2 linked regions of the Caenorhabditis elegans genome follow. The protein of the gene in region 2 purifies or fractionates together with the protein of the main gene of each other region. This does not show direct contact. Each region holds a gene or a part of one and is shown on either strand. Other genes may lie near its edges. The genes, in order: spp-5 and lro-1.

Region 1 (11,998 bases), 1.0 Mb from region 2:
TTTTAAGAAATTTCTAAGCTTCAATAATTCTTGTTTTTTGTGTAGTTTTTTTGTTTAAAGCCAATTAAAACATTAAGCTTTCAACACTATTATAATGATAACTATAAAACTTTTGATCAAAGTGCTAAGAAACAAAATTGAAGTTCAAAACACCAAGTGTTTGCACATTCTGAAAAATGGTTTTATTTACTAGGGAATGGTCAGCTTAGGGGTGAGGTACCTAGAGACGCCACATATGCCAAACGGAAGCTGAGATCATTGGCTACAAGAATATGCTTTCAAATTCTGCAACGGACCTCTGGGAGTCTGGAAATTCTTGTCTGAAATTATGCTTTTGAATGCTCGAAAGTGGTAAGAATTTAGAATTTATTACAGAAAACGTTTAATTAATAAAATTAGTTTTATACTTGAAACAAGTACTGTATGCACTGTATCAAAACACATTTTCATCTTTTCTAGGTATTCAACTTCACGTTTTTCTGTAATAAATTCTAAATTCTTACCACTTTCGAGCATTCAAAAGCATAATTTCAGACAAGAATTTCCAGACTCCCAGAGGTCCGTTGCAGAATTTGAAAGCATATTCTTGTAGCCAATGATCTCAGCTTCCGTTTGGCATATGTGGCGTCTCTAGGTACCTCACCCCTAAGCTGACCATTCCCTAGTTAGTGAATTCGTTTTTATACTCAGGTAAAATTTGCGGCACACGTAAATTTATTTAAAGTTCTTGATAATTTTTGGTTTTTGTAAATGAAAAGCATAGTTCAAAAATTAACGTTCATTTTTAGAATGGCTTCCCTAATAGGCTTTTCATCCCTAAATAAATTGCGTCCCCATTAGTATTGTAATCAAAATAACCAATTGAAAATAGTTTTTCCTGCAATACTAATAGGGAAAATACGGTATTTATCTTTGCGACGTAATTTTTACTTGATCTGAGTTACTGGTCAGCACAATTTGGTTTCCTTGTGTAATTATTCCCATAGAAACTCCGCACAGCTTCCCAGCTTACGTAAGACACACGAGTTATTTTTTCCCAGAGAAATAATAACTTTTCAAATCACGAGAGAGTGAGTGATGTTGGTTTATATCATTTCACCAAACGCTTTGTTGCATTATGAACTTGACACTCCAAAACAACGAGTAAATATTTTTTGTTCAAAATATTCCCTCTGTTTGTGAAAAGAAAAAGTGTGTATGAGGATCGAATCATCGGTTTATCAACTGTTTCCCATCTGTTCTCGTCTATTCTCAGCATCCCCTCGTTCTGACACTCGTGTCCCCTTCTCTCACATTAGTTTGTCTGGCCTCTACTGTCCTCATTTATTGTCTATTTCTAATGATGCTACGCGGGAGAAAACACACCAAATTTTTGTGAATGCTCGGTTGAATCTACATAGCATTAGTCAATTCATCGAAATTTGACACTAATATATTGCTCTCCAGTTTGCTTTTGAGAAACGTTTATGTTTTCCTTGTACCAAAATCAAAACTTGAACATTCGATACTATTTTGAGGAAAAATGTTTTGGAGGTATGGGGAATTGAACCCCAGCCCTCTCCCATGCTAAGGGAGCGCTCTACCACTGAGCTATACCCCCTGACAAACGTTGGCATTTGATTAGCACTCATGTCACGGCCGCTAATTTATATTTTCCCACTGATAACGATTGTGTCCATTCACGAAAGGTGATCATTGGTTGACTAGAAATCAAACCTTTTCATTTGCCCAGCCACTCATAGTAATTATAATAATAACAAAACTATGTCTGGAAAAGGAAATGGTGTTTCATTCACCTACTCGAATCACGTTTCCGATTTTTTTTTTAATTTGAAGTTCATATACGTTAGTCTGCAATCACGTTGGAAACGATTTTGAGCATTTCGTAATACTTCATTAGCTTTTGAACGATTCTTTTGAAATTTTTGAAAGCAGCATTACATTAATAAAAAATTCAATTTTAAATTCGAAATAAAATTTCACTTCTATCCTCAGGACCCACTTTATCTTCATGAATCATGTTTAGCATATCTTTCCGAATGATCAGTCAATCCACGAAGCGTGAACAAACATCAGATACAAAATGAGTGAAGTGGCAGAATTAATAATGACGCAGAGTTATTCAGGATGTTTTTTTCAGCGTTTTGCTCATTTTAATTTTGACTACTAAGGGTCGAAACATTAATATTTCAAAACAAGGTCATTAAAATTATATGTAAGTATCATGCTGTAATGTTTTATATTGTAATTTTTCCACCTGCTTGGTTTAAAAATTCTTTAGGGTTAGAACAACTTTACTTACTTTTTAGTTTTCACTATCCTAACTTAATTCTTCTAAATTTAAAAAAAACAAGCACTGTGAAGTTTCAGAACAAAAACCTTACTCGTCTTGTTGATATTCAATGCTTAAGAATTAATTAAAAACGTTCAAAAACCAATGCGATAACTCTCATTCACAAGTACTAATCCCTTTTCATGCAAAACTCATTCATCTTTGCTCATTCTTCACATCAGTCATTAACATGAACTTTAAAAAGTCTGAATTTTGTTCTATCTAGTATTTTTTTTTTAATGTCAATGTATTCACATCTAACATCAGCTCCAATTGCAGTTTCGTTCCAGCACGTGATTTTCAGAGATGCAGATCCGGATTAGAAACATAAAAAACGCTTCTTAAACTGCCCCAGCGATATTGCTCTCTTGAACTATTAGTTTATTAGTCGCTCAGTGTGTGTGAAAATCAAACCCCATTCATCAATTTTCGTTCCGACTTTATGATGCATAAAAGTCACTTTTATAAAACGCGACTTTGGCAAAGATCTCCATGGTTTCATTTATATGTAAACTTCTGCTCTGTGCCTTTTTTGTTGTTTTTTTTTTAATTTTTGATCTGTGCAATGCAAAAAAGTAAGTTCTCTTTTTACCATCTCAAATTTCAGTCAAAATGCCAATGCCACTTCGGTTTCTTGAATCCTCACGGCCAAGCGTCAGCACTGCACCAATTCCAGTAGACAATATTACCGACCCACATGCCAGACGAACAGCAGAACTCGTAATTTTCGAATCAGAATTATTTGAACTTTAAAAACAGTTTTTCAGAGAAACGCAGAACTGGAAAAGCTTCAAAAAGCGAAGGAGCTCGAGCAACGAACTAGGGTTGAATGTCAACAGGCTCTTGACCAATACGATGTACTGAAAAAAATCCCAACATTGACGGAACAAGAACGGAAAGAAAACGAGACGCTCACCAAAAAGAAAATAGCTAAAGCCATTATTGCTGCACAAAAAGCTTCTCAAGCTGTGATGGATGCACGTGTAATTATGGGAGCCAAAGGCGAGGAACTGACAAAGTGAAAATAATTGATTTGTCTGTTAAAATTTCTAAATTATTGAAATTTTATAATTAATAGGTCTCAATCTGATGCAGTCTTTCCATATGAACATTGTTGCATTGTCTTAATTCTGACATGGTCTTGGTACATTGTCTGTCCAACATTTCAAAGCAAAATATCATTATTTGGGAAAATCTTTAAAAGCATTTATATGTTGTTAAAATGACCCAATATCAAAACGCAAAACGTTAGAAAAAAATTATCTATGAGCAGTTAGTTCGATGATATTGGTTGAAAACTCAGTTAAATATGACTATACTTTTGTAAGTCGGCCAAAACATGTTTTTTTGAATTTTCGCCAATTTTTAACCATGTTTTAAATAGTTGTCATTGACCAATATAGAAATTTTAAACCTGCTGCATCGCTTCCATTTTTTTTTCAAAAAATTTACTTAAAAAAGGCCAGTTACCAAAACTTCGATTGAAAATTTTGAATTCCCTATTCACAATGGGAGATCAGAAGCAAAGACAAGGAAATGAAAAATTATATCAACACTTTTCCCATAGGGAGTGAATTAATTTTGACTCTTAAAGCTAGACAATGTGCGAATATTTTGAATGTTACCACATGATAAGTTTTTTGTTAGAGTTATGCGATATTGAGTCATAAATCGGTTATAATATCATACAAAGGATCTTAGGTTTCTAGGGAAGTTAATAGAAACAGTCTATGCGGGAAAATCTGAAACGGAATGAATAACCTCACGTTCAAAGATATAGTTGCAAAAAAATATTAAATGTTGTTTCAAACCGCTCCGAATACAAATGCCACAAGTCCTTTCATAATTTTCAGAAACAATAAAGTTTTATCTAAAACTAATCCATTGCCTCGAACCTCTCGGTAAATCTAGTGGACACTATTTTGTTAAACAACTTTTACTTACTATGAATCTAAACTTATTTGATGACTATTTTTGCAGTCTTACAAAATTGAATAAGTTGAACAACATTATTTTTCCAGATGAACATCAGAGCGGAATAAAACACTGAAACGTTGTGGAAACTAAATACTACCGCCGAAACAGTAATATATTTCTGGAAAAAAATAAACACCTACTTCTCTTACTTTGTGGTATTTTTACTCGAAAACAGTTATATATTCAAAATATAGTTTCATTAATTTTTTAAATTCATGTTTATGTCGTGGCGTGGCAATAATACTAAATGTTTATATTAACTTGAAAGTTCGCAAAAAATTGATCATAAACGAGTTTATATTTGTACATTACCTACTCGTTCTATCCAAAGAAAGTTTAAATATATTTACAAATAACAACGTAAGTTGACGTTATTCTAAATGTCATACATCTGGATCGTTAAAAAACAGTTATCATGCATTGCAACATAGTATAAATGTTTAGTACATTCCTGCAAGCCGGACAATTTTCCTATTTATCACGAGTTTAATGCATATGTTGTCGATCTGTAACCTTTTTTCTATTCCATACATTATGCTCTCCGCTTTCGACGCTGCTTCTTATCAAATGGTCAAGTAATCAAAATTGGGAAGTTTTTGCTATAAATGCGCCCCTATCACCGCGTGCTCTTTCAATTCTTCCTTGCGTTTTGATGCTTCAGTGTTTCATTTCAATTTATTTTATTACAGAATGAAGACTCTTCTTGTACTAGCCGTTTTGGTCGCCGTTGCCTCAGGACTTGCCATCCCAGAAAATAGAAGCGCATTGAGCTGTCAAATGTGTGAGTTGGTTGTCAAGAAATACGAAGGATCCGCCGATAAGGATGCCAATGTCATCAAGAAGGTAATAAATCCGTGCTAGAAAAAAACCAACAACTCTTGAATATTCTAGGATTTCGATGCTGAATGCAAGAAGCTTTTCCACACCATCCCATTCGGAACCAGAGAATGCGATCATTACGTCAACAGCAAGGTAGACCCAATCATTCACGAGCTGGAAGGAGGAACCGCTCCAAAGGATGTGTGCACCAAGCTTAACGAATGCCCATAAACGGATCATTGAAATTTTTACTTGTTTGAAACTTTTACCAATAAATTTTCGATTTTTAAAAGTTTCAACCAGAATTTTGATAAATATAGAATAATTGTGACCAGAAATGTATTGGACCTTATTTTTTAGAAAGGGCCTCAAGTCTAATAACGAATCATAATAGTACTGATAAGGACTGTAATCCAAAAAGCTTCAATCCAGGAGAGTGGGGAACAATTGAAAAAATGTGTATCATTATGATTTTAGAGTTTGGAACTTGCCCGGTCTGCACACCATGTACACGTGACTGTTATTGCTTGAAACGCTGAAAGCTCGTTGCAAGCTTTTCTTGAGTTTCTAGAATTATCTTGAAGCTTGAAAGCTTTTCGCGCACAATTATTGATTGAACAGCGAAAAATGAGTACACTTTTTTCAAAACCTTTGATACTTTTTTGACACATTAGGAGTTTGGTTTGATAAGTTTTCTTTGTGAAATTGTCCTGCCCTGGACACCTAATTTTTACAGATAACAACATACAATTTCAGGGAAGTGCCGCGTCTTGATGATTTGCAATATATAATACCTGTAACTTTTTCACAATTATCGAAACTGTGATCACGTGAAATCACATAATATTCCGTTTATCTACGGATACAACAGAAAATTAAGTTCAATAGATCAAAAAGTCATCGAATTCCTTCAAAAAGACAGAGGGAGTCTGAAAAAAATTTGTTTAATGTAGGAAGTCGTATGCATAATACATTTGTTCACGTAATTGAGCAGAAAATAATTTATGTTTTTTTCCGTAATTCAAAACTAGTCACAAATCACACGGGTTTACACTAACGTGAATTTTTAATTTTTGTTTTATAGCAAATTATGTGATTTGTTACAAAGTTGAAAACTCCGAAATTAAATTTAAAATATTTTTCTGAAAAGCGGGATGAAAGGAGAAATAGGAAAACGGTATACGTACTTGCAGTAAATGTAAATGGGAACTAAAAATGTACCCGCATTGCTTCTGACGTACTCCGTTCTATAAACTGTTTTCCTCCGGTTGTACCGGCAATTGTTCCGGCAATCAAACTAAAATCGACAACGATCAAAAACATAATTCCCATTTGAATACGCTGCTTATCAGAAAACGAGATAATCAGGCTTGAGTGCCGATATAAAATAACCTGCGTCACACGTGCCAGATAGATAATTTAGATTATTTTCAATTCCTAATTTCATTCAAGCAGTTTCATTTTGCAGTATGAAGACTCTTCTTGTGCTAGCCGTTTTGGTTTTCGTAGCCACCGCCGTCGTGCTTCCACACCAAAGAAATTCCCTGGGATGTCAAATGTGCGAGCTTGCCGTCAAGAAGTACGACGGCTCCGTTGACAAGGATGTAAATGGTATCAAGAAGGTCAGGATTTTATTATATACTTTTTGCTACTAGAATGACATCATCATGTAGTGTTTCTCAGATAAATTAGCAACTATATAGAATAGGAAGTTTTTTCCAGGACTTTGACACCGAGTGCAAGAAACTGTTCCACTCTATTCCATTTGCCCCACAAGAATGTGAACACTATGTAAACACCAAGCTTGACCCCATTATCAAGGAGCTCGAAAGCGGAACTGCTCCAAAGGATGTGTGCACAAAGCTCCACGAATGCCCATAAACATTGACGTGTTATAATTGAACCGGAGAACTTATTTTTAAACAATTTAATAAATCAGTTTTAGAGAGGTTTTTGGCTGATAGCGCCAGCCAACAGCCGACTGACAAATGTTCGTTGCTTTTCGGCTCGTGAACATTTTTAACAAACTAACAAATTTTGAAGAAATTTGCTAGATTTGCCTAACTTTATTGGCTGGCTGTACTAGTCGACACCCGAAAAATCAGTCAGCCGCACACGCCTGATTGACACTTATTCTAACATGAAATTTATTGGACAATGAAAATGAAAACGCGAGGAGCTTTACCTATGAACAAAAGTTAATAAATTTTTGATTTTTTTTTGGTACAAACCCGCCTAAATAATTTTAGGTTTTTAACATCATTTTTTGCTTTTTTTTGCAACAATTCGTGAAAAAAAAATTTATTTAGTATTGCACTCCCTATCAGTCTTGCACTCCCTATTATTATTGCAAACCGGGAAGATCATTCGAAAAATAGTATTGCAGCCATATTAATAGAAGAAATACGGTAATTAAATACTTGCGATTAAAAAAAAATTTTGATAAAAACCTTGTTATCTCTACATTGAGTGAAGCTTAAAATCAATAAATAACTTCAGATTGATTGAAATTTTGCATGCTTTATTCAGTACCAATTTTCAGTTTTGAAATGGCATAAAAGTTTATGAACACTCGCCAAGTTTTGTGCAAACATCTTTTGGAGATGTTCCACTTTCGAGCTCCTGAAATAATAGTTCTTCATATTTCATCATTAAAATATGTTCTACTTACTTTAATGATTGGATCCAGCTTTTTATCGACGTAATGCTCACACTCTCGTGGCGCAAACTGAATCGAGTGGAATGCCTTTTTACATTTTGCATCGAAATCCTTTTTGATGTCGTTGGTGTCTTTGTCAGCATCTCCATCGGCACTTTTCACCGCAAGTTTGCACATCTCGCAGTCTAAGGCATTGCGTTGTCTCAACCCAGTCATACAAGTCATACAAAGATCACGGAAGTCACGGTTTTTTACGGAAAATCATGCTTTTTTGCAGTCAGATAAGAATATTGAAAAGTGATATATTTATTATTGTTTATTGAAATATCTCATTTTCAATTCAAAACCAAATAGGAAAATGTGTTACACATAGATTATCTATATATCTGATGTGTTTCAACCCTTCAAAATTTCGCAGAAACTTTCATCATAATATTTTATCGCACACTTTCAAACAGGACAATATAATAGTTAACGAAGTCACGCATTTTTGATACACGGAACAATTTATCAGTAGCCACAAATCATGAACATTTGAATAGAACTTATTAAATGATAGTGAGGGACCGAAATTCAGCATCAAAGTGAATGTAAACTTGGTGTTTCAGTTATGATTCTCCGAAACACAAGACCTCGTGATCACTAAATATTGTTTAAGCTACATTTTGATTTTGTAATCATAATGCCGTATTATCTTGAAAACTAACCAATCATAAACAATCAGGAATTTAAATCCGCTATTCACGTGATTCGCTCAACAGTATAAAAGTTAAGTTGTCGTTGCATCAATTTGAACTTCTCTGTTCAAACAGTGTGTATAGTATGAAGACTGTACTTGTGCTTGCTGCTGTTGCAGCCGTTGCTCTCTGCGTTGTTCTTCCAAAAGAAAGAAGCTCGTTGGGATGCCAAATGTGTGAACTTGCTGTGAAGACTTATGATGGATCTGCGGATAAGGACGTGACAAGTATCAAGAAAGATTTCGACACCGAGTGCAAGAAACTTTTCCACGCGATTCCATTTGCTCCACAGGAGTGTGAACATTATGTGAACGAGAAGCTGGACCCTATCATCAAGGTAATTATTCAAATATTTGTAACAAGTCTGAGTAGATTTCAGTTCATCCGACTAGTCTATATTAACAACCTTTAAGATTTATCTTTAGTATTATGATATAAATAAACAGCATACTTTCACTTTTCCTAAATTTGAACAATTTGGAGTACAGCTATTTGCGGTGGAACAAGCTTGACATTTTAACCAAAATTTTAAAGAACCGAGAATTATTTCTAAAATGTGTTTTATTACATACTTACGTTATGTCAGATTTTTAAAGTATAATCAGACCAAATCCTCACTAACGATACTTTTACATTTAAATTACCTCCCAATTAAAAAATATGTTTCAGGAGCTTGAAAGCGGAACTGCACCAAAGGATGTGTGCAAGAAACTTGGAGAATGTCCAAAGTAATGGATATACAATTATGTTTTGATTGATGTACGATTATGTAATAAATATAATTTTTATAATAAATGAAATTTTTTCAATTGGCAATAAATATTTTCAGTATTATTTCTAATTTTCCTAATTTCCGAAGTAATTATTTTCAATCGCGGATTTGAAACATAAGTTGACAACAAAACATACACATAAATAATAAAAGTAATAGTTTTAGGTTCGCATCTTGCTTAATTAGTTAGTTAGATTTAGTTAGACTTGATCTATATGCATGAAAAAAATTATATCGGCAAAAAACGTTACAAAAGGTAAATTAGGAAAAAGTAGTACGAGTTTGATTAGTTAAGTTAAAACTTTTCAGCAATATTTTGAGTACCTTTTTAAGTGTTGTCTTTTACGTAACCACAAATACCAAAATTTTGATCTCCTATATATATAAATACTATTAATTGATACTATCCACAACAGTTTTACTGTATGTTTGTACTCTGACCTATTTTCTTATTGGTTTGCTCTTTCAATATCAAGACTGTCGTAAAACACATCCGTGATCAAATGGAATAGCAAAACGTTTCTTATCAAACAATTGCCGAGTGAGCTCATTTTTTCCACGAGGGTTTGGTCATAATGATAAGTGGTTTTCAGTAGTCTTCATGTGTTATAAAATTAAATCATCATTACAAATTATCATCATTTTTAATTTCTTTTCAATATTTTTCATGTAATATCCAATTTAACTATTTATAATTTTTCAGAACTATGAAAACTTATATCCTTCTTGCCGCCGTTACTCTTGCCGTTTTTTTCTCATCGACAGAGGCTAATGGAATTGAATGTGAGATGTGCAAGATGTCTGTCAAGATTGTTGTTCCAATGCTTGGAGAAGACACTGAATCAATTAAGAAGGTAGTTTTTTCTTTAATATTTTTTGTAAAATATCAAATATAGGCCGTCGACGCTGAATGCAAGAAGGAATTCCACAGCATTCCATTCGGAACTCAAGAGTGCAAAAAGTTCATTGACACCAAGCTCGACCCAATCATTCACGAACTCGAGAACGGAACTGCTCCATCTGACGTCTGCACCAAGCTTGGAATGTGTTAAATAAAAATCAGATGATTTTAATAAATTCATTCTACTAAAGTAATGGCAATTAATTCCCAACAATGTTTAGTTTCATAGAAAATTTTATAACATGAATTTGCTACATATTATGTATGACCCTATGCTCACTATTAGCACGACGTCTTTATCAGTCTTGTATCGAAACTATCTCTTTGATTGGCACAAACCTCCATGATTTGCAAGTCATTCCAGTTTCCGTACGCCCAGTGTTTGATTAACATGTTCACGTCCAGAGCGTTTAGTTTGGTAAACATAAGCGTGAGCCGAGTGAGATTCCGTGTGAGATTCATGTCCATAATTGTGTCACGAGTAATTCATGCCATTTTAATGAAGCACACGTAAGGCAGGGAGAAGATCTGGAAGTAAAATTATATTTTCGTGAATTTTAATCATTGATTTCTGACCTAAAAAAGATTTCAAAGCAACTCCTTCTATTTTTACACTATTTGGATAAAATGCTCAATACTCTATCTACGTTAAATTCGTTAGCGGTGGCCCATGATCCAAGGGTACATCGGATTGTGGGTACACTCGTTCAGGAAGTTCAATCATGCTTAAGGTACATACATCTGGTTTGCTGAGATGGTACATCCGTCTTTCTTTCGTGGGGAGGCCAAGGCTCTCCGCCACTGATTTGGGATCCTTTCAGAGTTTTGACAGCATGAACGGGTGGAGAGTTGAACATCCCAGCAGATAATCGACGCTTCCTCATATTTACTGAAGTTGAATAGATGTACCATGGATGTACCCTTAGAACGAACCGGCCGTTGTATCACAACAACAAAAAATTTCTCGATGCACTCTATTTCGATATACCCTTGGATCATAGACCGTTAGATCTTCGTGTACCTTGAAGGAGCTCTCACCTTTTCCAGATTAAACTGATTAATTTTGCCGATGACGATTCCATCCAAATCTCTGTCCTCGGCAACTGAAAAACATTTCCCTCGAAGCCAATTAGTTTTCCATTCAGCTTCACCACGAGGTGATTGTTAAAATAGTTGTGTTCAAAGAGAGTTCTCAATTTTGGGGGCCCGACACATAATACAACTGAAATGATGCGAGTTCACGGCGGCAAATGAGAATGTTGGAGAAATACTGGCGGCAAGCTGGTACACAAGACTCGAAGTGTGCAGTGTAGCAACTGATTTTGCTATGATCCGCAAAGCTGAAAATCTGGATATTTGGGAGCTGAAGCATGACCACTCACCTCGCCGGAATTTCTAGCCTTCAAAGTTTCAGTGTTCTTTCTAAAGATTCGGGTTTCACAGTTTTGAAGTCGAAAATAAGTTAAGAAAATAAGCAGCCTTGACCAACGTGCGCATTCTCATCGAAAACTGGGACAATTCGAATCTGAAATGAAACGTATTTCTCAAAATTCATTCAAAGAAGCAAACTCACATTTGAACAGCGCGAAGAATCTTGAGAATGTTGGCTAAGGCTTCAGAAGGGAGCTGCAGGAATCGTTCGAACGTCGGTTGTTTCTGCTTTTTCTTTATCAAACCACAAGAGAGAAGTTCGGGGAGCTCCATCGCACAGTTTGGCTGGGTGAGTAGGAAGGAATGACAAACTTGATTAGAGGTGGAGGTTGAGTGGAGAGGACATGGTCGATGTTCTCCTAGGAAGTTG
Region 2 (13,276 bases):
AAGGTCGAATATTCAAAGAAAAAGCCGTGCGCCCAGGCGGCTTCTTCATTGTTTTCTATTTTCCTCTCTGCCACACTCGACTCATCACACAAAAGCCCGTTTCTTACACAGTTTTTTTGGGTTGCCTGGTGGTAGTGCCGTTTGACGTCTAATTATCATTTTGTGAAAGGAGGAAATGTGGACGCTCATGTATCGAATAAATAAGGAAACACACAGTGAATGTGAATGGTAAAGAAAGCAAATGAGTAAAAAAAAACGGAAGAAAAAATAACATCCCTCGCGGTGTCTTCTTCCCATCGCCAAAAAGAGCTTTCACTTGTTTCCACTTGCTGGCACCTATTTTCCAATTTTCCAGAAAGCGCTGTAAACATGTATAACATATGCAGTCATAAATACAGTATTGTTAGAAGATGGCTCCAATGGAAATCTGTACAATGGAAGTTCCAATGGAAGTTGTAATACAAAAGCAAGTCAAGTTTTTCTTTCCGATTTTGAGTGTAGTTTGATAATTGATTTTAAACCCACTTAAGGTGTATTAATACACATTTAATTGTTCAAAATAATCAAAAATCATAGTTGAACACTGTAAAAACGTTTAGATTTTTCTAGTCAACGTTTTGATATAAATTATCAAATTATTAAATAATTACGGTAATTGTTGCAGGTATAGGGAAAGCTCGTAGAATAATTTTTTCTTGGTGGACTTCCAGAATCACGATTGGTAAAAACTGAGTAATTACCACTTTGGAAATTTAACATATTTTTCGTATCTCATTGTGGAACTCATTAAAGTACACTTAAACAACATATCTCAATCTTTAAAAAATATGTATTCTCTCCAATGATAACTTTTTCAGTTTTCAAGATATTAAACAGTGTATTGATTCATTTATCAACTTTCAAACCAAAGCTCAAAAACTCAAATTCCAAGTTTTCCATCCTGGCACAGAAGTCACCTAGTTAACCTGATTTTCAACAATTTGTTCATTCATTTAAACCTTAAAACGTCAATGACCTGATTTTATCAACATTTGTACCCATACAAGTCAAATTCAAATATGCAGTTGTCTATCTCGATCTTAATTCACTGCCTCCTCCAAGGTCGGCAGTGCCCGTAATCATGTTTACGTTTTTATGTGACAGTTGTTGGGGAGGTACTACTAGCTTTGATGTAATTGGTACCAAGGTTGGTCAACTTGCTAGCCGAAGACAGAAAATAAACAGTGAACGATGTTTTAACTTTAATGCCCGTATCCAATTCTTACAACAGTAGTCCATCATTAAATAAACAAGTGCCCCAAAAACAATCACAACAAACAAAATACACACAAGAATTTCAATGTTGTGTAATCAAGATGACATTTCGAGGAATTAATTTTTCTTAGCGATAAAAAAGGAAAATCCATTATCTCCGCATTCTTTGGTCTTTCAGCTCATTTATATTCCGTTTCACATTTCAATGTCAAACGTGTGTGTTTTCTGCAAGAAAACTCAGTGGGATATCGTTTTTATTTCTGGGAACGAAACACAGATAAAAAATATCCTTTATTGTTCATTTTGCCCTGGCTTGGGAATGTAATCTGTGTCTTTTGTGGTTTAACTTGACAACAAAACTCAAAGAAGGAATAACCTTTCAAGTATGACAAGAGAAACCCAACGTCATACATTATTCATAGAATCCTTCCCTCTCATTAGAAAATTCAAACAAGGAGTTGACGAGCGAAAGCGATCAGCCCATCATTTGCAATCATTTCACACGGGGCCGGTCCTGGCAGATTTTTTTGGTGGAAGAAACAACAATGCAAACCAATTAATGGGCCATTAGGTCCAATCGATCACAAGCAACAATATTGTCGCAGGAACTTGTGTGGGCGTTCAAAAAGTGCGATTATTTTGGTGATTAATATTCGAATGCATAAATAATTCAGACTTTCACATTAAAATTGATAAATGTGAACTAAAACCTTTTTTTCAGACATTTTCAAATTCAAGTTTTGTTGTTATCTTCAAAGATCGGTAGTATAGAGGGAAGAAGTTTGGAATGTGGAAATATATTATTAAAATATAGAGGGTAATAGAAGATCAATTTGTTTTTCAAAAAATCATCTTTCAAATTGACGAAACTACACATTAGAATAAATATTTTGTGGACCTATGTAACAAAATTTAACCTTTTTCACGTTTTCTGAGCAAATTAACTTAGCGGTAATGGGCAAATATTTTTTTGGCAAAATCGGCAAATTTTGATTATGCAATTTTTGTTGGAAATTTATAAATTTCGATATGAAACTGCGAAATCGAACCCATCCTCTACATTTTTGAATAAGCGAATAAAGTTGGAAAACTCAACCAAAAATCGAAATAAACCGAACAACTGTTTAAAACATGTACTGCATGTGCTTTTGCTCATCAAAAATTTTTTTTTGGCCAGTTCAGCATTTTTCTGTGAATGAGAAATTATACTTTTTATGCTCAAAGAAAGGCTTCTGGTGATGGGCTTGTCGGGACCGTTTTTATCCTTTCAGAACAAACATTTCCAGTCTGAAATTCTGAAATTGGAAATACTATTAAGTCAATTTTCGTAACGATTGTAAATACATTGCAAACACATTGCATACATTGCATAAGACATGACATGTATAAAATATTAGAATGACAAGTATACAAATTTTCTCGTTTTGAAATCAGTTGAACTTTTTCAAATATCTTCCAGAAATTCTTCGATTTGAAATTTCTAATTTCTGATTTTTAATATTTGCAGATTGATAGATTACTTGCAATATCTCTTTTTCACAGTATACATACATTTGAACGTTTATTCTACAAATGAGATCTATCAGTTATTTCTTGTAATATTGAAGATTGCCTTGATGACGATCACAGGCAAGAAAACGGTTAACTTCCTGTTATTACATACCTCCGTTACAACCCTAGTATCCGCCACCCATAAAAAAGGGTTTCAATCATTTTTCAAGGTTACGTTTAGATTCAACTATCAGAATTAACCAAGTTTCATGAATCTGTGTTTCGGTGTGATCTGATTTATTTTTGAGTAAATCAAACACCGTAAGTTGTTTCTGTCTACTACCCGCTTTCATTGGCTGTCGGTCACTCATCTTTTAAAACAAGGGAAACCGAAGTTGTGTTAGAGTGAAGGAAATGTTATTTCTTTTTTCTTTCATTCCATCGTTGATAGTTTTTCGTAGTTTTTGCAAATGCCCAACACAAGACAAAAACTAAGACGGTGGCCGTCAAATAGAACTGATATCAAGAACAAAAAAAGATGCATCGTACTCAGAAAATGGAAAAATAGAAGGCAAGGCCACAGAAGTCGTTCCGAATTTATGTTTCTCATGTCGGAAGAAGAATTTGTTTGACGAGTAGTACTACTACATAGGAATACCAAGAATCGAGTAATTGGAACTGTTTTTACAAATAGCTATGTCAAAGTCTGACGTGATCAAGAACGTTATCGACCTTGTATGTCGAAATTGAAATCTTTTCAATTTTAGGGAACAATAAAATGGAACAAAACTTATTTACACGAAAAAAAAAAAGGTTTAAAAAAATTTAAGCGCTAGTATTTCCAGATAAAGCTTACCGTATTTTTTCTTTTAGTCTTGCATAGACTTTTAGTCTTGCAATACTAATTTTCAATTTGTCCGTAGGGGCGCAAGACTAATAGAGACTACAATACTGATAGAGGCTGCAAGACTAATTTTCGATTGGCTTGTAAGGGTGCAAGGCTAATAGGGGTGCACAACTAATAGAGACAGTAAAACTAATAGAGGATATAACATGTGTTCTATTGAAATAATCAAAAATGAATTTTAAGATGGTGAAACAAGTAGATATAAAAAACTATACTCAAATGCTAATAGGTTTCTAAGTATTACAAAATCTACCTACAATGCTTCTGAAAAAAAGATCCCTCTGAACGTATTTTCGAGTTCAAATTACATATTGTTTCAGTCATTTTATTCAACGTGCAACAATCCATAATAATCATAATAATAAAAGGGCAACCACAAGTCACAACTGATTATATTTTTAGATGTCTATCATCTAGTTTGTAGTGATTTCTTAATGTTTCTATGATTTCTTAAACAGACTGATCACATGCTTGGGAACTGCTCATCGAGCAGAATAATATGACGATAATTTACGTCATTAAAGTACAAAAAAAAATACAAACTATAACCAAAATCGTACAGTTCAGTTATAATCGAATTTGGTTTTCGGCTGTCAAGTCTCAAGTCTCCGATTGCGGAAGTTATTTTGTAATTTGACGAGTTAATAATGGCAAAGGTAAAGCAGCACCAATGAGAAATTCGAGAAACTTTTCAGAAATGTTCTGAATTGTTTAAATTTACAGATGGAATGTGGCAGTTATTCGGTTTGCAAATATTAAACCTTTGGAATTCGACAAAAGTTTTTTGAAAAACGGAAATTTTGTTTTAAAATTTGTCATCCCACCAAAAATGTTTTGAATTTTTTCAATGCGTTTTTTTCGCTGCATGTAAGATTAATGTAAATGAGTTTAAACAACGTGCATACGGCAACGTGCATTGCCTTTAAAACATTCCAAAATCAAAACTTTCATTAAAAACTTCCGTTGAGATTGTTTAGAAAATTGGTTCCCTTCTTAATTTTCAATACATATGTATTCTTGAAATTATTTATTTCGTTTTTTGAAAATGTTTGAAGTTGACGTGGCATTATAATTTTTGGTTCCCAAATTTTAACACTAACAGGCTCCCTTAATTTGTTTTGTTTTTAATAATAACCAGGATCAATCAAAAAATTTATACGTGAAAAATGGCAAAACAATGTGCAAACAATTTTATAATACAATCACATGGTTATCGAACAAAGTTTAAAACTGCTGTTCTTCTTTGGCAGGAGCCAGTGGTAGAGCAGTTATTGGAGTTGCTGGTGGTGGAAGAAGTGGGGCTCTTTCTGATGTTGGATTGTAAACCTGGTTGTTGCCGTCGAGCCGTTCGTAGACAGAGCGTTGTTTGACTTGATAAACAATGATAATGATTAAGGCGATTGAAAGAAGGATGCACAGAGCAAGAAGAACCCAGGTTACAGTCTCCCATGCAGCTTTTCCGGTGATTCTGAAAATCGTGATTTAGGTATTTCTCGATGCTAATAGTAAGTAACTAACTCGTCAAGAATTGTTGCTTTCGGAGCAATATCAACGGGGATCTCATTAACCGGTGGTGGGGCTCCAGCTTGTTCAACTTTCTTCTCGTTCAAAACTTCTTTCAAGGCTGCCTTGTCAAGTTGACCCTGAAGCTTGTCCGAAATTTGGTTGGCCATCTTATCCTTAACACCTTGCCCGATTAGATCCTGATATCAAAAATTGCATGAAGACATTAAAATCCCTAAATTACCTGAATAAGATCCGAAAGTTCATCCTTCTTCTGCTCATATGTTTTTGCCTGATCACCAACATTCTTCCCCTGCTGCTCAATATCAGCAAGTTTATCCTGAAATCAAGATGGGAAATCAGTTGGAAGACATTGCCAAAAACTCACATTGATCTGTTGCTTTAAAGCTTCATGATTTTCTCTTTGTTCGCCAAGCCGTTGATTTTTCTCGTCAACGCGACGCTTCACCTCAGCAGTTACCAGCTCTTTGACTTGAGCCAAATCGGTTTTCAATTCCTCCAGTTTCTGTTTTCTTCTTTCATCAAGCTTTTGTTTGGCTGCATCGATTTGTTGCTTCAACTCTTCTCTTTGTTGTTGAAGCTTCTCAGAGGCTTGCTTCCATTTCTAGAATAAGATGAGCATTTATAAAGAAAAACCAAGTAGTAGTTAGTAATATCTTAATACAAATAAAGCGTCATTACTTCAAATTCTTATTTCAATTTTTTAAATAAATTGTGATTTATACCTCAATTTGCTCCTGCCTCTGTGCTTCTTTTTCTTCTTGTTTTTGCTTGATTTTGTCCGTAAAAGTTTTCACAAAATCATCAATTTTCTGAAATAATAATCCAAAAAATTTAAAATTTAAATAGTAACCTGTTGTTTTTCTTGCTCCTTGGCTTGTTTCTTTTCCTTAACTGACTCGACGAATTCTCCAACTTGTTGAGAAACCTCCTTCCATTTCTCGATCGCTGCTTCGGCTTCCTTTTTCTTGGCTTCAGCTTTTTCCTGAAAAAAATCATAAGAAAACTGATATTTAAATTTTGATTTGTGACCTGTTTCTCCTTTTCCAATTCATCGGCTCTCTGCTTAACTGCATCAGATACCTTTGAAAGCGTTTCGTTCAGTTTCTTCTGAGTCTCTTCCCGGTATTTGTCTCTTGCTGCTCTCGCATTTTCAAAATTAACTCTCAGTTCTTCTTCCAATGCCTTTTCCGTATCAATTACTGACTGGAAGGTGTCAGCAAGGGAGTAGTAGCGAACGGATGAAACGCTCGACGCAAAAAAGACAAGCAGCAGTGCAACTGAGAATGTTCTCATTCTAAAATGTTAATGATAAAAATCAATACAGAACTTATCAAATTGTAAAAAGAAAAACCCAGAGTGACTGTTCAACTGTCAGACAAAAAGAAAAGAGCCACCAATTGTGTGGGGTATCTTATCAATTGACTGATAGTTGGCTACAAATTAACGTCCGCCCAGTATGTTGTTGATGATGGAGAACGAGCAAATAAACACAATGACAATTAGAATCATAAGATTGATCTGAAATTGGTGTCTTTCATAATGAGCATGCTCGTGATACAAACTTGGAATTTATGTCAATATAATTTTGAGCTTGTTGTGCAAATAGGAAATTTCAAATCAATTTTTGAAAAGTTTTGCATTTGCTCATTTCTAAAAAGTGCATGACAAAGGCCGTAATTGTTGGATGTTGGATACCGTTTGCTATTTCAAAAATTACCTATTAATTTGAGGTTTGAGACATTTGAACTTGAATACTGAGCATTCTGATATAAAAAACATCTATTCGATTTAAAATCTTCAGAAATTTTGAAACTTTATATTTTCGGCAATGCTCATTTTCGGGCCCAAATTGCCGAAATTACTAATGAAATTACATTAGCAGTTGCAGCACTTTTCAGGTTCAAACAAAACATTCCGAAACTTGGCACGCGAGTTGAAGCCTGTTAACTTTAATTCACCAGTTTTAAGTTTGCACAATGTGAAAAAATGTGAATATGTTGATACACTGAAAACATAAGAAAAATTTTGACATAAATTACTTGAAGTCAATAAATTATTGAAAACTAATCTTGCTAATCCTAAATGAACTGCTTATTTCAGATCGAAAACTGACTTATTTTAACTTTTCTTAATATCCATTCGAACTAAAAATAAACGTGTCATGTGAATTAGTTCTAATTCGAGACTTGTAAAATATTTTACAGTCAGAATATTCAACTTTCAATATAACTCCACATTTCCAAACTGATCAAGAATTAGTAACAAGAATTAGTAATAAACATCTGAATTTATGAATTTCCGACGTAATAAATTTATTTTTGCATTCTATTTCAAAGTAATAACAAATCATTTTTGGGGTACCAAAAACTTGATTCGTAAATCGTACTTCAGTGCGCCAAACACTTTGGAACGTTGACCAATGGATGTTGTCATGAAACAATGGGAAAGAGTATGGAACAAAAGAGGAAATGATAATAAAAAGCTCACTAGGTCTTTGGTTTCAATAAGCCTAACCGGACAATATAAAATTAGACACATTTGAAGATGGGGGTGTATGATGAGTTTGGAAATGTGGTATCCGATAAAATTATACGTCTACAAATTTCGTGGGGAATTATGGTAAATTTTTTGAGCATGAAATACGTTGTGATGAGATTTTGAGGAAACAAAAGAATGTAGAACAAAAACAAAATGATATTCAATCAGCGAAAAAAGATATTAATCAAGTGGGATATTCAAATATGGTGCAGACATATCCGGCTCCATGTGCACTCTGCGAACATTGCGAATGAAGTTATCAATCACGTCATCTGGAACGCGATCGTCTTCTACGTCACCTTCATTCTCCACGAAGATGACATTTCCATTCATAGAAAACGTATTGAGAAGGAATGCAACTCTGGCGGCCTCCTCGGGATCAAATTGACGCTCAACGCCGTCCTCCTCTTCTTCATCTTCCTCTTCATCTTCATCATCATCATCGCTTTCCAATTCTACATTTCGTCTAACCCGACGACGTCCGACATTTGGTCCTTCATCTGTTGCGTAATCCGATCCGGTTTCCGAGCCAGTCTCTTCAGATTCTCTACCCTCTTCGGAGCCTTCAGCTGTGTCTTCTGGAAGATCGTCTTCTGGAATTGGTGTTGGAGTTCTTACACGGCATCTAGACGGCGGGTTCTTCATGTTGTTACACACATAATCCATGTAAGTCCCAGCCATCATTCTGGCAATTCTGTGAGCAAGGTAAGCTGTTTGCATTTTAGTTTGATATCTGATTCTAGAATTTGTGAGATCAATTTCTTGAATGAGAATCTGCGAGAACTGAGCCGCAAGTTGTTTGTAAGTCTGCCCATTGATGCGTTGAAAATGCATTTCTGCGTGGAACTCTGCTTCCAATGTTGCTCGGATCTCAACGCAGTGTGGTACGCCGCGATACTTGTCCATGATATGATGAATTCCGTTGATAATTTCGACACCCGCACGAAACTCTGGCTCAGGGTTCATCCAGTCGAGTTCTGATGCGGCAATTACTTCCTTCACTTTTTCTCGATCAACATGATCGTCAAAGTTTGAAACGAAGGCACAGATTCCAGGTACTTTGTTCAGCTGGAACATGACTCCACTGAAAAAAAATTCCATTAACATTCAATTATTATTATTATTCTAACACCGATGAAAAGAGGAGTATTAGTTCTGGGTATTTTAGAAACAAAATGTGCTCAAATAAAAACATTTTCCGTGTTGCAGACGAGCGAATTTGATTTTTTTGTTTTATCATCTTTCATTGCATATTTTGGGTGTATTTCTCACTATATTTTGTAAATTAAAGTACATACAATGCCGATTGGAATCCAGTTTTGGTACTTTTTGGATACCCATCGGTTTTAAATGCTTTAAATAACTTGAGATAAACGCCCAAAGTATGCAATAATGAAGGATAACTTAATACAAGCAAAATTCGGACAGTTGTGACGCGGGAAATTTGGCAAAAGGAGATATTAGCTTAATTTAGGCCATTTAATTTTTTCAGATATTTGTGAGAAATGCAATTTTGAAACTAGTTGATTTTGGTTTTTTGAATCATCTGCCTATCTGTGCAACCAAAAAATCCAGAACCTATCCTCCTCTTTTAATATCCTATCTCCGATGAAAAATAACTTACTCTATCTTTGGCCATAAAAGTTCGGCAGCTTTTGCGAAATGAATTTCCTTATTCAAACGTTTCAACTCCTTTTTTTGTTGTCTCAGATGCCACAACATTCGAGAAGCATGGTGCATCACAATGGGAGGGAATTCGTTTTCCGAAATGGTCAACTCAAATCTGATTTTTTTCAATGCAGCTTCATCGTGATCCGGTTCGACAAAAACGCCGTGGTTGATAGACTCTTTCTTAATGTAGAAATTTTTGACGGCATTGTGTACTTTGACTCGAAGAACTTCAAGTTTTCCAGAGATTTCCTTGTCCATGTCGTCATTTCGGCAACGCTCCACTGTCGTGATTTTGAGAAGTTGTGCCGCTGTGAGTAATACCTAAAATTTGAAACAAAATTCACCTCATGAACCCATTATTCTCACCGATTCTGGCACGCATTCGCCATATATTCCTTTTTCCTTGTCAACGAATAGAGCATAAACTCTCTGAATAACAAGCAACAATGCGTCAATCGAAGCCATGACCGCAATAAAACGAAGCTTTGGTTTAATGTTGAAAGGTTCACAATGAGTGATTTGATCCATGGTGCTCTTCTTCTTATTTCGCACAACACCACACAACTCGTTAAATTGCTCCATCTTCTGGATATACAATACTGCCCTTGTCTTGTCAAGGCCTCTCTCTTTCTTCAAGATTTTCAAAATCCTGCAAAAGTCTTGGCGAAGCTTTGTCTCGTTGGTTTGAAGTGCTTTGTCAAGCAAGTTCGCGTTGTCAGCTGATTGTGGGAATGGAATTCGGAGATTCTTCAAAAAGCCAAGTTCTTCCTTTCGTTTAGAAGCTACAATGACAGCACGATAGTAGGAAAGTTCAAGCTGCTGCATTCTGTCAATAGCGAGAAATTTCATGAATGGAAAGTGATATCTGAAAAATGTTTTAATAAAAGTTAACCTTTATATAGTTTTTATGCAACATACTTTCCAGAGACAACTGTTCCGCTCAGCCACTCATAGTCAAACGGATTATATCTATCAGAAATTTCCTGAGGAGGCTCAACTATTTTCTTCTTCTGACGCATTGGCGTCACGATGCTGAAATGGTCCCGTAGAGCGTCAACAATGCGGTCACGAATGTAGAGAAGAAACGAAAAGTTTGAAATATCTGCGATCCCGTTGTTATGAGCTTTTTGAACTGTTTCAAAGTAGTCATGAAAGATGTCAATCAATTGGCAGGGAATAAACGAATGAATTCCGTTCTGATATTCGGTTTCCATGACAGTGCCAATCCAATGAAACATCTCTGTGTAAGTGATCAGAAAATTGACATAATTCGCATAGTCCAGTCGTTTGTTGAGCTCAGGAACTTTGGACCACAAATCATCAGTAAGATTTTGAATGTTATCAGCGAGTTGAGCTCGTTTTTCGGCATAGTTTTTGCTTATGAAAAGACATTGATCAAATGTGACCTGAAATGATGTTCAATTTATTTTCCAATCAAAATATTGGCTTTGTGCTCAGCAACTCGCCCTTCTCTCCAAAATCGATATCTTGAAATAGTCTTGAAATTCATCCACAGTTTCAAATTTTGGAACTTCCTCAAAACTGTTTGGCTTCATGAATCGGGCCAGTCTCTGGCTATCCCTGCAATTCTTTTCCAAGTTGCTCATTGTGCAGCTCAATCCGACGACGGTATCAATTCGGCGAATTTCTTCATGGATAAAAATATCTTGGTTGATCAAATTTCTGAAAATTGGTACATATAATGGGTGTCTTTTGATGTGAATAAATATCTATTTTATTTTATTTTTTTACATCTCATAGAAAATTTTGATCGGAAATGCTCTCACTGCAATTTATCATTATTTCCAAAAGTATAATTGCTCAAAAAAACAATTTTTTTAAGATTTGCCATGAGAAGCTAAACTTCCCGGGTTTTTTTCAGAAAGTTTTCAAAACGCTACAAATTTTCAAGACAATTTTCAACTTCTAAAAAAAAACAGTTTTTGAAACAATTCGACAAGATATTAAGTGAAAATTACGCAAAAAAATCAGATCACAGCTTAAAAGGGATGTTTTTTAACATGAAACTTTACAAAAAAACTTACAAACTAAATGCCTGTTCCTCTGGTCTCACTCCATTTGAGGGATCAGGACTGGATGCTGCTTGAGCATCTTCTGGAGTCATTACTACCTGAAATAACCTATCCTATTTTAAAACTGAATGAAGCATACAAAAACGAAAGTTCAAAAATATAAACGAATCGATATATAAATGGGAATAAGGCCATGCTTTAAGAAAATACATAATTTAAATTAAATTCCGCACAATTCTTTTTATTAAAAAGAGCTGAACAGGACGGGATAGATTAAACTGGGGTAACGGGTGCACATAGAAAAACAGTATTGAATTAACAGTAAAACTAGTAATCAGATGACAATTCACTTTAGAAAAAAACCTGAACAAAATCAATAAAGATGATTTTTACTGTAAAAGATCATTTCGAGAGAGGCAAGGGAATGATTGCACAGCATGAAGGAGAGAGAAAGATGAGAATAAGTTATGATTAACTAAATTACTGGTTTTCCAATTTGAAACATGTTTAATCAAGTGGCAAATTGTATAATGATGCAGACAAATCCGGAATCATCCCAAGATTTACATGAAAGACGCCGTGAATGAACTCATCGACCATATCATCGGGTACTTGATCGCGATCTTCGATAACCAGTGTAGTTGGGTCCTCGACTTCAGTATCATTCTCAGATCCAATAGAAACGGCTCCCAGAGAAACTTCTCCAAACATCTTGCTCAACAAATTCTCTCCAGTGTTTTGATCTCCATCCACCTCGTCGTCTTCATCTTCCAACTCAGTGTCGTATTCTTCGTCACTGTACGGGTTACAGTTCGGATCTTGGCGTCGGGCCAGTGGTGGTTCAGGCAGATCGAAATGGTTTGTACGTTTCTTTATGTAATCCATGTAGAACTCCATAATTTCACTTATCATTTTCTTCGCGGTCGCTGTAGATCCTTTCTGGTATTTGTACTTCTTGCGAAGGTTGTTGAAATCAATTTCAGCGTTGACAATTTCCGCAAATTGGTAAGCCATTTCGTTAAAACTGAAATCGTCAATAATCCGAGTACCGAACGCTTCTTTGAAAGCAACCGCAAACTCGTGATTAATTTCCGCAATTGAAGGCACGCATTTCTTCTCGTCAATCACTTTGTGTGATATACAAACGATTTCGTAGCCCGGATAGTTTGCAAATTCCATTCTATCTTCAAAGGAAGTTGTATCACCATTGACCTTCTCAAGAATATCGGCTCGAACAGTGCAGAAATTGGAGTGAAATGCATAGACATGATCCTTGCAATTATTCAAAGACAATGAAGGCGTTCCTCTGTAAAATATAGTTAATACAGTGTATACAAGATGCCAACTTACTCTTTACTTGGCCAGCTAGAGTACCCAGTTCTCACTTGGCTTAGTTGAGTGCTTAGGCGGTTTAGCTCAAACTCTTCGAAATATAAGTGCTCCATCATTAGTTTGGCGTGATGGGCAATTTCTTCTGGAAAATCCTCCACCTTGAGTTCGTATGGGAAGAAGTTGTAGCCACTTTCGATGTTGACGTATACGTTTTTGGTGTAATTAGATTCACATTTGTCCTCATAACCACGGTAATACTGTCGAATCCAATCGCGAGTCGCTTTTCGTAAGCTCTGAAGACATTCTTCAATGTTTTCATTCAACGGCATTGTCTTGCAGCTATCTACTCCAGTCATGAGATAAATGTTGAAAGCGATTTCGAGTACCTGAAAATTGTAAATTGTTTGAAATTTATTTTAATTGAAGAAACAAACTTTTTGGGGAAGTGGTTTTCCATATAGTCCGAGTTTTTCATCTACAAACAAAGCGTACACTTTGTGAACCATCAAAAGTTGTGCTTCCA

What was found.
Region 1: the proteins of lro-1 (region 2) and spp-5 fractionate together in Caenorhabditis elegans (co-fractionation; one large-scale study listed by BioGRID). This does not show direct contact.

Annotation. Positions count from the first base shown.
Region 1 is NC_003284.9:7,313,355-7,325,352, reverse strand, and holds spp-5 (Saposin B-type domain-containing protein), read left to right. Parts: upstream 1-4,998; 5' UTR 4,999-4,999; coding exon 5,000-5,152; intron 5,153-5,200; coding exon 5,201-5,359; 3' UTR 5,360-5,416; downstream 5,417-11,998. Other genes in the region: T08A9.13 (uncharacterized protein), read left to right, coding at 2,945-3,052, 3,100-3,354; spp-4 (Saposin B-type domain-containing protein), read left to right, coding at 6,598-6,750, 6,851-7,009; spp-6 (Saposin B-type domain-containing protein), read right to left, coding at 7,691-7,750, 7,800-8,012; spp-2 (Saposin B-type domain-containing protein), read left to right, coding at 8,610-8,861, 9,194-9,256; spp-3 (Saposin B-type domain-containing protein), read left to right, coding at 10,004-10,150, 10,193-10,348.
Region 2 is NC_003284.9:6,265,286-6,278,561, reverse strand, and holds lro-1 (Lysosome-Related Organelle protein), read right to left. Parts: upstream 6,474-13,276; 5' UTR 6,473-6,473; coding exon 6,209-6,472; intron 6,162-6,208; coding exon 6,030-6,161; intron 5,989-6,029; coding exon 5,902-5,988; intron 5,781-5,901; coding exon 5,544-5,780; intron 5,496-5,543; coding exon 5,400-5,495; intron 5,356-5,399; coding exon 5,171-5,355; intron 5,121-5,170; coding exon 4,877-5,120; 3' UTR 4,794-4,876; downstream 1-4,793. Other genes in the region: W05H9.2 (Dynein heavy chain 7, axonemal), read right to left, coding at 7,898-8,801, 9,342-9,709, 9,755-10,253, 10,307-10,794, 10,855-11,071, 11,434-11,513; W05H9.4 (ANK_REP_REGION domain-containing protein), read right to left, coding at 11,929-12,727, 12,772-13,139, 13,188-13,276.